2 linked regions of the Cricetulus griseus genome follow. Each later gene encodes a partner of the first gene's protein in a complex. Links are inferred from orthologs where the notes say so. Each region holds a gene or a part of one and is shown on either strand. Other genes may lie near its edges.

Region 1 (4,479 bases):
CCTGCCAACTCTCTGCTCAATTACCTTGTGGAGCCCAGAGAGCTGCTGGTGCCGGATGAGTGCCTCCTTGCTGGGAAACTGGCGGCGGCAGAGCAGGCAGGCTAGCTTCTGCCAGTCTGTGAGCTTTTCTTCCCGCTCAGGACCCCCTCGCTCCTGCTCCTCCTCACTGTCACTCTCCCCGCTGTAGGCTGCCACCAGCCCTCGAGGTGGGCTCTGTAGACAGTGAGGGTGGGAAATCAGCAGCCTTGCTGAGATCAGAGACCCCTGCCCTTTTTGCTCTGACAACTCACTGGACGATCATCATTGGCCAACTTTGGGAGATCCATGCTGGTGTGCTGTCTTTCAGCTAGCGCTCCCTGAGGTAAAGGACACAGAAATTCAGGGCTCCCCAGAGGACCCTAAGGAGTAATGAGATTGTAGGTGGGGCACAGATGGACAGTTACAACACACCTTCTTCTCAAGGATAGCATAGCCTGCATCTGCAGTGGCCGATTCCCGCCTCTCATCATCTCGTAGGGCACTAATAGGCTGGAAGCTGTTTTTGAAGTTTTCTTTTTGCTTGTTGAGACTGCGGGCCCACCGCTCCATGTCCTTCGCAATCTGGGGGGGGGGGGGATTAAAGTTCCCAGAATTCCTCGAACTTGGGGCTTTATTCTCTCACCCATGACCCTTGCAATAGTAGCCCTTCCCGCCCTGTAGCCTCAAGTCTGGTACCTTTCTTAACTCAACCACTGTAAAAGGCTGTGTATACCTGGCTCTGGGGTCTCATCCTTGTAGAACATTCCTTTAAAAACCATAAACCATGCCCAAATACTTCCACCTTCTCCAAACCATCTTATTAAAATAAACTCAAGCTCATGCCAAGGATCCCTTCCTTCTACTGACTGTTTCCAAACATTCCCCTGCCTCCCACCTACTCCATGTAGTTTCCAAAGGCAAAGGCAAAAGCAGCAGCAGAAATAGTGTGGGCAGATAACAACTGAGCAAGCAGGGTCAGAAGGGCAGTGGGGCAAAGGTGTTGGTACAAGATCCTATTTTCTGTATTGGCCTGGGATCCTTTTCAAGCCCCTCTCTGGTTACAACCCCAACTATTTCTTTCTTGACACAGGTTTATTTCTCTGTGTAGCCTTGGCCATCCTGAAACTCACTCTGTAGACCAGGCTGGCCTTGGAGATCCACCTGCCTCTGCCTCCCGAGTGCTGGGATTAAGGCCACCACTGCCTGGCTGCAACCCCAACTTCTGATTTGGCACTTGTATCATTATTTGTTCTTTCATTTTTACTTTCTAAATACAGAGAACTACATACTTGTGTATGGGAATGGGGAAGTAACTGGGTCTTGTAACATACTAGACAAGCACTCTTCCACCGAGCCACACCCCTAGGGTTGTATATAATTTCAATTTATGTGTGATGTTCTGGTTGGTTTTTGTCAACTTGATACAAACCTAGACATATCTGGGAAGAGGAACTCTCAATTAAGAAATCTCTTCCAACAGACTGGCCTATTGGTAAGTCTCTGGGGTATTTTCTTAATTACTGACCAATGTGGTAGGACCCAGCTCACTGTGGGCAGTGCCACCTCCTAGGCAGGTGGTCCTGAGTTGTGTAAGAAAGCAGACTGAACAAGCTACGGACAGCAAGCCAGTAAGAAGCACTCCTCAATGGTCTCTACATCAGTTTCTGCCACCAGGTTCCTTCCTCGACTTCTGTTCATGATGAAAAACCCTTTCATGCCCATGTTGGTTTTAGTCAGTGTTTATCATAGCAATAGGAACCTAAGACATGTGACATGGTGTCAAGTTTAATGCTTTGTGTTTCTTCCAGTCTATGAATTCCTCAGGTTGCTGAGGGAATACTTACTGCTTGCTTCTAAGTGCTGTGCTTCAATGTTATACCCTTTCTCTACAGAGGCAATGAGATTCTCTCTAACTGCTCTCTATAGAAAACCCTGCAATGTTTCTTAATCAACTTCATATAAGCCTACGAGAATTTATATTGGATCAACAGACATCCACCAGCAGCATGAAGGTTACCTTCGAGGGGCAGAGAAAAGCTGCCAGAGCTCACTCAGATGGTGTAAGTCACTTTATGGTGGTAGGTAGTCCTGCTACAGTACCCCACCTCCCAAAATAGATCTGGCTCAAGAGTCCTTACTTTCTGAAGCAGTTACAACCTCTGTCCATTCCCACCCACTACTCTACTTTCCTTTAAGCTGAAGAGGGCAGGAGGTGACAGAACACAGACTCCAAACAGGAGATGATGGCTGGAGGTTCACCTGTTGGGCCGTCTTTGTCTTATGCTTCTCTTTCTTCTCTTTTCCCTCCTTGGATGATGGCCCCGTCTCCTTATGTCCATCAGCAGACTGCTCCAAGGCAGGTATGTAGGTCCGCCGCTCTCCATCCCAGTAAAGATACTGTTGGCTCTGAGCATTGTAGTAATACTGAGGAAGAGAATGGGAAGAGGTGACATGAGGGAGGACCTCTAGGGCTAGCTGCCACACAACCACAGTCCAGTTTTCCCTAGCCTACCCCGTCACCTACCTGGGAGTTGGGGTCATAGTATAGACCAGTCTGGGGGTCATAGTAGTAGCCAGATGTCTCATCATATTGGTAAGTAGAGACATCAGGAACGGCTGTGGGGAGGAAAGACAAGGTTGTCAAATTCCTCCTTGCTTGGAGAAGTCCACACCCTTACCTACAGGCTATGTATGGCTACTCACGGTACTGGCTGTAGGACTCTGGGGCAGTGGGACTGGTGGCTGGTGGTAAGGCAGAGCTGGGATGAGTAGGACTCTGAAGCTCAGACTTGAGCACAGCAGGTGACATGATGGTATATGACTGCTCATGGGTCACAAAAGGGAACACAACTCAGTGTCTGTTAATACCCTCCTGCCCACTCAAGATGCACCCTGCCAGCCCACCAGCCTCCCCAGAGTGTCAATCAATGTTATCCTCACTTGGCTGTTGGAAGTTGTACCCTGACTACTGCTTCCCTCTGCTGATTGCTGATAAAGCCCAGGGGCAGCACCAGGCTGGGCTCGGGAGAAAGCCTGCAGTGACACAGAGTCTGCCCCAGTCTCAAGGGAGGCCTCAGGACCTGAAAGGAAAACCAAGGAGAATACCCATGAATGTTAGCGCATAAGACAGTAGGCTTCTAGGCCCCACAATTAAGCTCAGCAAGAGAGGATGAGGCTCACCTGCAGCAGCTGGGTCTCCTTTGGTCCCAGTCATGCCAGGGCCCTTGCTGTTTTTAAGGTAGCCATGGGCATAGAGGGAATCTGTGCCCTGGCTGCTGCCATAGCCTTCATCCTGTTGATAGTAGCTGTAGTCAACTGGAGTCTCCTCAGGGGCAGCCCAGGCACTCTCTCCACCCTGGGAGGCCTGAGGGGCAGGTGAGAGATGACAGGGCATAAGGGAAGACATCTGCTAGAAGTATCTGTCCTACACATGGAGCTAGCATTTCCACTTGATAGAAAAGCATGCAGCCTTAAGGTAGTAAAGAGCAAGGGGTCCTGACAACAACAGTGGAGGAAGAAGAGACTAGAAAACGGATACATGTTCAAATGGCCCCCCCACCCTGGGCTGATCCTGATAAGGTATGTGTTAGGCCTCAGACCAAGCAAGACACCCTCAATCTCTTCATTTTTCCTCTTCCCTCCCTCCCACAACTATGTAGCCCATGATGGCCTGGAACGTGTAGCGATCCTCTTGCCTTTGCCCCCAGTCCCACTCAGTGCTAGGATTATAGGTACACACCACACCTTCCCATCTTCCTAGTCTTTATTCTCTACCAAAATTTTCACCTCCTTTTCCTTTTTTTGTTTTGAGATAGGGCCTCAAACTCACTATATAGTCAAAGACTGGCCTTCAACATCAAATCCTCTTGCCTCCACCTCATAAGAGCTGTGATTACTGGTGTTTATCACCACACTTGGCTCCCAAAATTTTTTAGATACTTGTAAGTTCCTTTTTATTCATGGCATATATACTTACATAAGCAATGCATATCTCTCTCTCTCTCTCTCTCTCTCTCTCTCTCTCTCTCTCTCTCTCTCTCTCTCTCTCTCTCTCTCTCACACACACACACACACACACACACACACACACACACTACACTACACTACACTACACAACTCACCAATTTATCTACCCAACAACATACAACACCAATCCAGAGTGCTGTCAAGAAACAGTACAGGAGACAGGGATGGAAAGAAGGCTCAGCAAATAGAAGTTGTTGCTCTTGCAAAGGACCCAGGTTCAGTTCCAAGCACCCACATAGTTGTTCACAGCCATTCAAAATTCTACATCCACATGGTGCACATACATAAGTACAGGCAAAACACTCATACACATAAAAAAACCTTATAAAAGAAAAGAGCCCAAAGTGACTGGGAAGGATAGAAGATGGAGTGGGAACAGACCACTGTCTGTAGAGGCAGTAGCAAAGTGGAAGACCTACACCACCTGCTATAATA
Region 2 (5,679 bases), on another chromosome or scaffold:
CCAACCCTCCATCCCACTCCCTATCCACGCCTCAGGGAGTGAGGCCTCCTATGGGGAATCATCAAAGTCTGTCACATCATTTGGGGCAGGACCTAGGCCCTTCCCTATGTATCTAGGCTGAGAGAGTATCCCTCCAAAGGGAATGAGCTCCCAAAGCCCACTCGTGCACTAGGGATAAATATCGGTTCCAATGCCAGAGGCCCCATAGACTGCTCAGGTCCCCCAACTGACACCCACATTCAGGGGGCCTGGTTTGGTCCTATGCTGGTTCCCCAGCTGTCAGACTAGGGTCTATGAGCTCCCCCTTGCTCAGGTCAGCTGTTTCTGTGGTTTTCCCCAGCATGGTCTTGACCCCTTTGCTCATCACTCCTCCCCACACACATATTTTTTATACTTCATGACGTCTATATTTTTCAAGAGATTTCAGTGAAACATTTACGCAAAAAATGTCTCTGGTCTTCAAATATATATATACTGAAAAATGTGGATCATGCACAATGCTAAATAGTTGAATGAAAAAGAAAGAATTAAGTTTATCTCCTATTGCAAATATACAAACTTTTTAAAAACTTTGCTTCTATAATAATTTTATCATTAGTTAAAGTTTTCCCTACTTACCAGTCCTTGTTCAAACAGTTCTTTTTCTTCTATCGTCCACTTTACTGAATAACTGGCTGGTTTTGTAGGAGAATGTACCCTGAAAGAAAAAAAGAGGAATTACAAAAAAAAAAAAAAAATGAAATGGAACGTTCCATTTAAGCAGCCAGAGGTTAGACACCAGTGGTTCTCAACCTTCCTAATGCTGTGATGCTTTATAGAGTTCCTCAAGTTGTGGTGATACCCCATCCTAAAATCATCTTCATTGCTATTTCATAACTCTAGTTCTGCTAGTGTTGTGATTCATAAAAGTATGTGTTTTCTGATGGTCTTAGGTGACCCCTGTGAAAGAGTTGTTGGAACCTGCAATGGGCTGTGATGCACAGGCTGAGAACCACTGTTATAGACAGTCACTTGAATAAAACCATGACTTCTAGTCTACTAAAAAAGGAGGGGAAGGGGACAGCTACTGCAACTGGTACCTGGGCAGTAAGGTTTACCCGTTTCTTATCTTTACCAGAATGAGTGTAAAAAATGTATATAACAATAGTATATGCATATACATAGGTATATATATGTACACACACACACACACACACACACACACACACACACACACACGCACGCACGCACGCACGCACGCGCACACACACACACACACACACACACACACACGCACGCACGCACACAAATATAATCTTTGGGTCTGAGTAAAGACAACATTAAAAGACATTTCTCTGGTAACAAATAGGTCTCCACAGACTGAAAACAAAAAGCAGCCATTAATATGTTCTCAAAGCCTAAGAATTTAAATCATAAAACTATGGCATCGCATTTATTGCTTTTAAATTCTGTATCACAAGAAATTAGAGCATAGTAAGAAAACTCTCCAATTTCATCAAGCATTCAATCTTCTCACTAACTTCACTTTGCTTATGTAGCAAAATATAAAAGCCAAAGTCTGCTTAATGCTCAAACAAGTTTATAAATGCTGAATAATGACCATGTTTTCCAATTAAAAAGAGGTTATTTGTAAAACATTTAATTTTTCTAGAATTTTTTGAGACAGGGTGTTGCTATGTAGTCCTAATTGGCCTAGAACTTACTATGTAGAGCAAGTTGGTCTTCAACTTGTGGAAATTCTGATTTGGCCTTCCAACTACTGGAATTACAGGCATGTACCACTATCCCCAGTCCAATTTTCCTAGGTAATTTTTAGAAGTCACAGATCCAAATGAAATTGTACGTAACAAATTTTAAATTATCAGACGGAACAAAAATCAAGTCAATTCATAATATATCTTTATGATGTGATAAACTGCCAAAAGAAAGACATTTTTAAAAAATTCTGGCAAATACATGATGGCATAAATGTACTCTAATATCTGCGCCAAAACCATCTTTAAAAAAATCTCTTGTCTTTTGAATCAAGAGAGCTGTTCACTGACTAAATCTAACTGTTAAGAATGTTCTTCTAATTCTCAATTGACCTAAAAAAGTTTTAAGGGGCTGGAGAGATGGCTTAGTAGTCACAGTACTCAACTGCTAGCACTTCTATCAGGCTGCAACAACTGCCTGTAACTCCAGCTCCAATGGACCGGACACCTCTGGTCTCCCTGGGCACCCACACTCACACACTCATACCCACACAGAGACACAAGTGAACACACACAATGAAAAGTAAAAAGGATTTTTATTTTTTAAAAAAAAAAAAGGGTTTAAAAATATAAAATAGGTACATACATGATTTTTGCTGTTTTCTGCAGGCTGCACATGAAAAAAAAAGAAAACAAGAAGCTTGTGAAGAAGTTACTAAATCTGCAATTCAAAACTTTTAATGCAACTTTTAATGATTTTACCTGTTGGTGTATTTTTTATCATCTTCCTTTTGATTGACCCAGAATTTTCCTGGAAGTGATTTATTAGACAAATAATACCTAGGTAATTTTTAAGGAAACGTAAACAATATTAAAGTCATATAATTCTTATGTAGTATCAAGTAGGCAGACTGGTCAAAGACATTCAAATGTAATCAAAGCCTATTACCCTTGAAGCTTGCCCAGGGCTGTAAGTCCATGCTGTCTTTACATGTTGCCTGTAGGAATGATCACACACTGAAACACACAACACAATTCCTGAAGCGCAGCAATGCTGGTTTACCTTCTCTTCTCTACCACAAATGGCTAAGAGAAAGAACTTCAATCTTTTTCTTTTCTAAAATAGTAATTTGGGAACCAGTGTTTCCGTATTTTTTAAGAGTTCAGGATTCTTCTACACGCTATTACAAATAACATCAAATTTGTCAAGAAACACCCTCTCGGCATTGCTGCAACTAGCCAGCTACGAAACTATTCCTTAAGTGTGAACTAGTCTTTTATTTAACAAATAAACTACATGTCATATGTTAGGCTATGTACTACAGACAATATATAAACATAATAAAGGTTCTGCTTACCCTCTAAAATATATTTAGAGTCTAAATGCTACCTGTTTCTACATCTGGAAATGAATAAATGGCTACCTGAGTTTTCAATAACCTAGAATTGCACAGTTCAGTATGGTGGCCACTAATCACATGTGTGGATCAAGCATTTAGAACACAACTAGAATTAACTGAGATGCAGTGCTAAAATAAAATGTACTGTAGATTCCAAAGACTTAGTATGAGACATTAATGATGTTTTCATTTGAGGCTGGGAACATGGTTCAATAATCCTAAGAATCTAAATGAGGATCCCAGGACGTAAAAACAAATCAATAAAATGACCCAGAGACTGATACTGGGGTTCAAACTTCAACCTGAAGACCAGAGAAGCAAAGCAGCCGGCTGCTGCTCTCACCTCCGGCTCAGGCTGAAAGGGCTGATCCACGGACTAGCTCTTCACCAGGTCTCAAACTGATGCCTCTCCTCAGTGTGGCTGGAGAATGAATGAATCTCTGAGACATACCTTCTGTCTTATATACTTCCCCAATATTGGGGTTAAAGGTGTGAGCTATAATTCTCTTTTAGATTGATTCACTCTTGTATAGATCTGTGTATCTGTTCATCCTGAGTCTAAGGATCAAAGGTGTGTACCACTACCTCCTAGCTTCTGGCTGCTGGGATTAAAGGTGTATGCCTGGCTTCTATAGCTTGTGGCTGACTTTGCTTGTCTGAATCCCCAGTCAAGCTTTAATAAATCATAAATAATGTTATCACTACACTAGGATCCACATAGTTTTGTGAACACATAATCCCAGCATTGGGAGGCAGACACAGGTGGATCCCAAGAGCTTTGGATTAGCTCGCCAGTCAAGTCCGTGAGCTTCAGGGTTCATAAGAATCCTCGCTCAAAAAATAACTTGGAGAGCGAATAAAGAAAACACCTGAAGTCAACCTCTGGGCTCTGGACATACATGCACATACAAACATGTCCAGCATGTGTGTGGGTACACACACACAAAGAAAAAAAAATTTCATATAAGCTGATATTTTAAATAATGTGTAAAAAAACCATAAAAACTCATTTATTTTATTTTAAATGAGGCTACAAGGAAATTGGAGATTACATGTGCCTTTCATTAAAAAAAAACAATCTAGGCAATATTTGGAGTTACAGAGTAAGGGGTTAACCAATGTCAACTCAAGACACAGAAAATATTCTTAAATTAACAGAATCAGTTGGGAATAAAATAGCAGAAATTCTGAATTAAATAATGGGCAGAGAGAGCTGGTTCAGTGATTAAAGAGCACTAATGGCTATTCCAGAAGACCCGAGTTTGATTCCAGTAACCACATGGCAGCTCTCAATGGTCTGTAACTCTAGGTCCCGAAGATCTAACCACCTTACGGTCTTCACAGGCACCAGGAACATAAGAGGTTCACAGACATACATGCAAACAAAAACACATACATAAATAATAACAGTGAACAGAGATCCATAAAATGCATATGGAAAAGTTAAAAATAAGCCACTATTTGTTAGTAATCATTAAAAGCCAGAAAATTAGAAATTTTTGATTTATTGAATTTTCTGAAATTACTGATATCCTCTCATTTGACGTAACAACAGTAAAAGATGCTACTTTGTGCATAGATAGTTGACATAAAATTATACAATCAATACCTGTAACCAAACGTCATCTAGTAATTACAGTGGCCTCTTCCATAATGTTTGCATTGATCTTTTTTCTTTTCTTTTTTTCTTTTTTTTTTTTGGTTTTTCAAGACAAGGTTTCTCTGTGTAGCTTTGGAGCCTATCCTGGCACTCACTCTGTAGACTAGGCTAGTCTCGAACTCACAGTGATCTACCTGCCTCTGCCTCCCAAGTGCTGGGATTAAAGGCGTGCACCACCAACACCTGGCTGCATTGGTCTATTTTTAACCCTGAAACCTTTACTCTTCTCACAATCGATGAAGGATACTCTTCTTCCAACAGCATTTTCTCAATGACAGCTCTGTTCTCATCACTGATGGTGCTATCCAGAGTCCAAGGCTATTTAAAAGAAAGAATGGAATGTATAACTCTATGTATTTCATGACTTTAAAAGCTATCTTATTTTACTAAGTGAAATACATGATATAAATGGTAACACCATACAGCCATATTCTGATTTTCACAATCACCCTGAGACAAGCATAAACAGTTCACAGATACATCTGCAGCACTAGTGGCATTTTAAGTGGAAGAGAAGAAACCTCACACTAAAACCTACTGAATTACCTGTAATCAGCAATAATGGCTGCCATGCACAAAAGAACTCTTAGGCTTCAGGCATTTTGCTCAGCACTAAACCTGTTTTCAAAACTCAATTCTGTTTTACCTCAGCCACACCCTGAGTAAATGATCATACTCATTTCAATTCTCAAAGTTACAAAATTTCAATTCCTTTCTCTTCTTTAAGCTCCAGACTATGTGGTCACTAGCCACACAAGACCTCCCTTTGAATATCTAACTGGCTTCTCAAATGAAACATACTCAAAACAGAATTCATATTCACCTGTCTCCATCTGCCTTTCCAACTTCGAAAAGAACTTAACTTTTAACTTAATGTTTAACTTTCCACTTAAACAGCCAGGAATCATCATGGATTCTTTCCTTT

What was found.
Region 2: Rbm10 (region 1) and Mysm1 share a complex: the UniProt entries of both Homo sapiens proteins name them as parts of the large chromatin remodeling complex. The link is inferred for Cricetulus griseus from reciprocal best matches to the Homo sapiens genes RBM10 and MYSM1.

The regions. Positions count from the first base shown.
Region 1 is NC_048604.1:125,449,015-125,453,493, reverse strand, and holds part of Rbm10 (RNA-binding protein 10), read right to left. Parts: intron 3,383-4,479; coding exon 3,199-3,382; intron 3,099-3,198; coding exon 2,959-3,098; intron 2,840-2,958; coding exon 2,722-2,839; intron 2,635-2,721; coding exon 2,543-2,634; intron 2,443-2,542; coding exon 2,278-2,442; intron 601-2,277; coding exon 451-600; intron 399-450; coding exon of another isoform or gene 357-398; coding exon 291-356; intron 214-290; coding exon 25-213; intron 1-24. UniProt on the Homo sapiens protein: Binds to ssRNA containing the consensus sequence 5'-AGGUAA-3'. May be involved in post-transcriptional processing, most probably in mRNA splicing. Binds to RNA homopolymers, with a preference for poly(G) and poly(U) and little for poly(A).
Region 2 is NC_048595.1:53,897,467-53,903,145, reverse strand, and holds part of Mysm1 (histone H2A deubiquitinase MYSM1), read right to left. Parts: intron 5,073-5,679; coding exon 5,002-5,072; exon of another isoform or gene 2,644-5,001; intron 2,535-2,643; coding exon 2,457-2,534; intron 2,365-2,456; coding exon 2,341-2,364; intron 698-2,340; coding exon 619-697; intron 1-618. UniProt on the Homo sapiens protein: Metalloprotease with deubiquitinase activity that plays important regulator roles in hematopoietic stem cell function, blood cell production and immune response.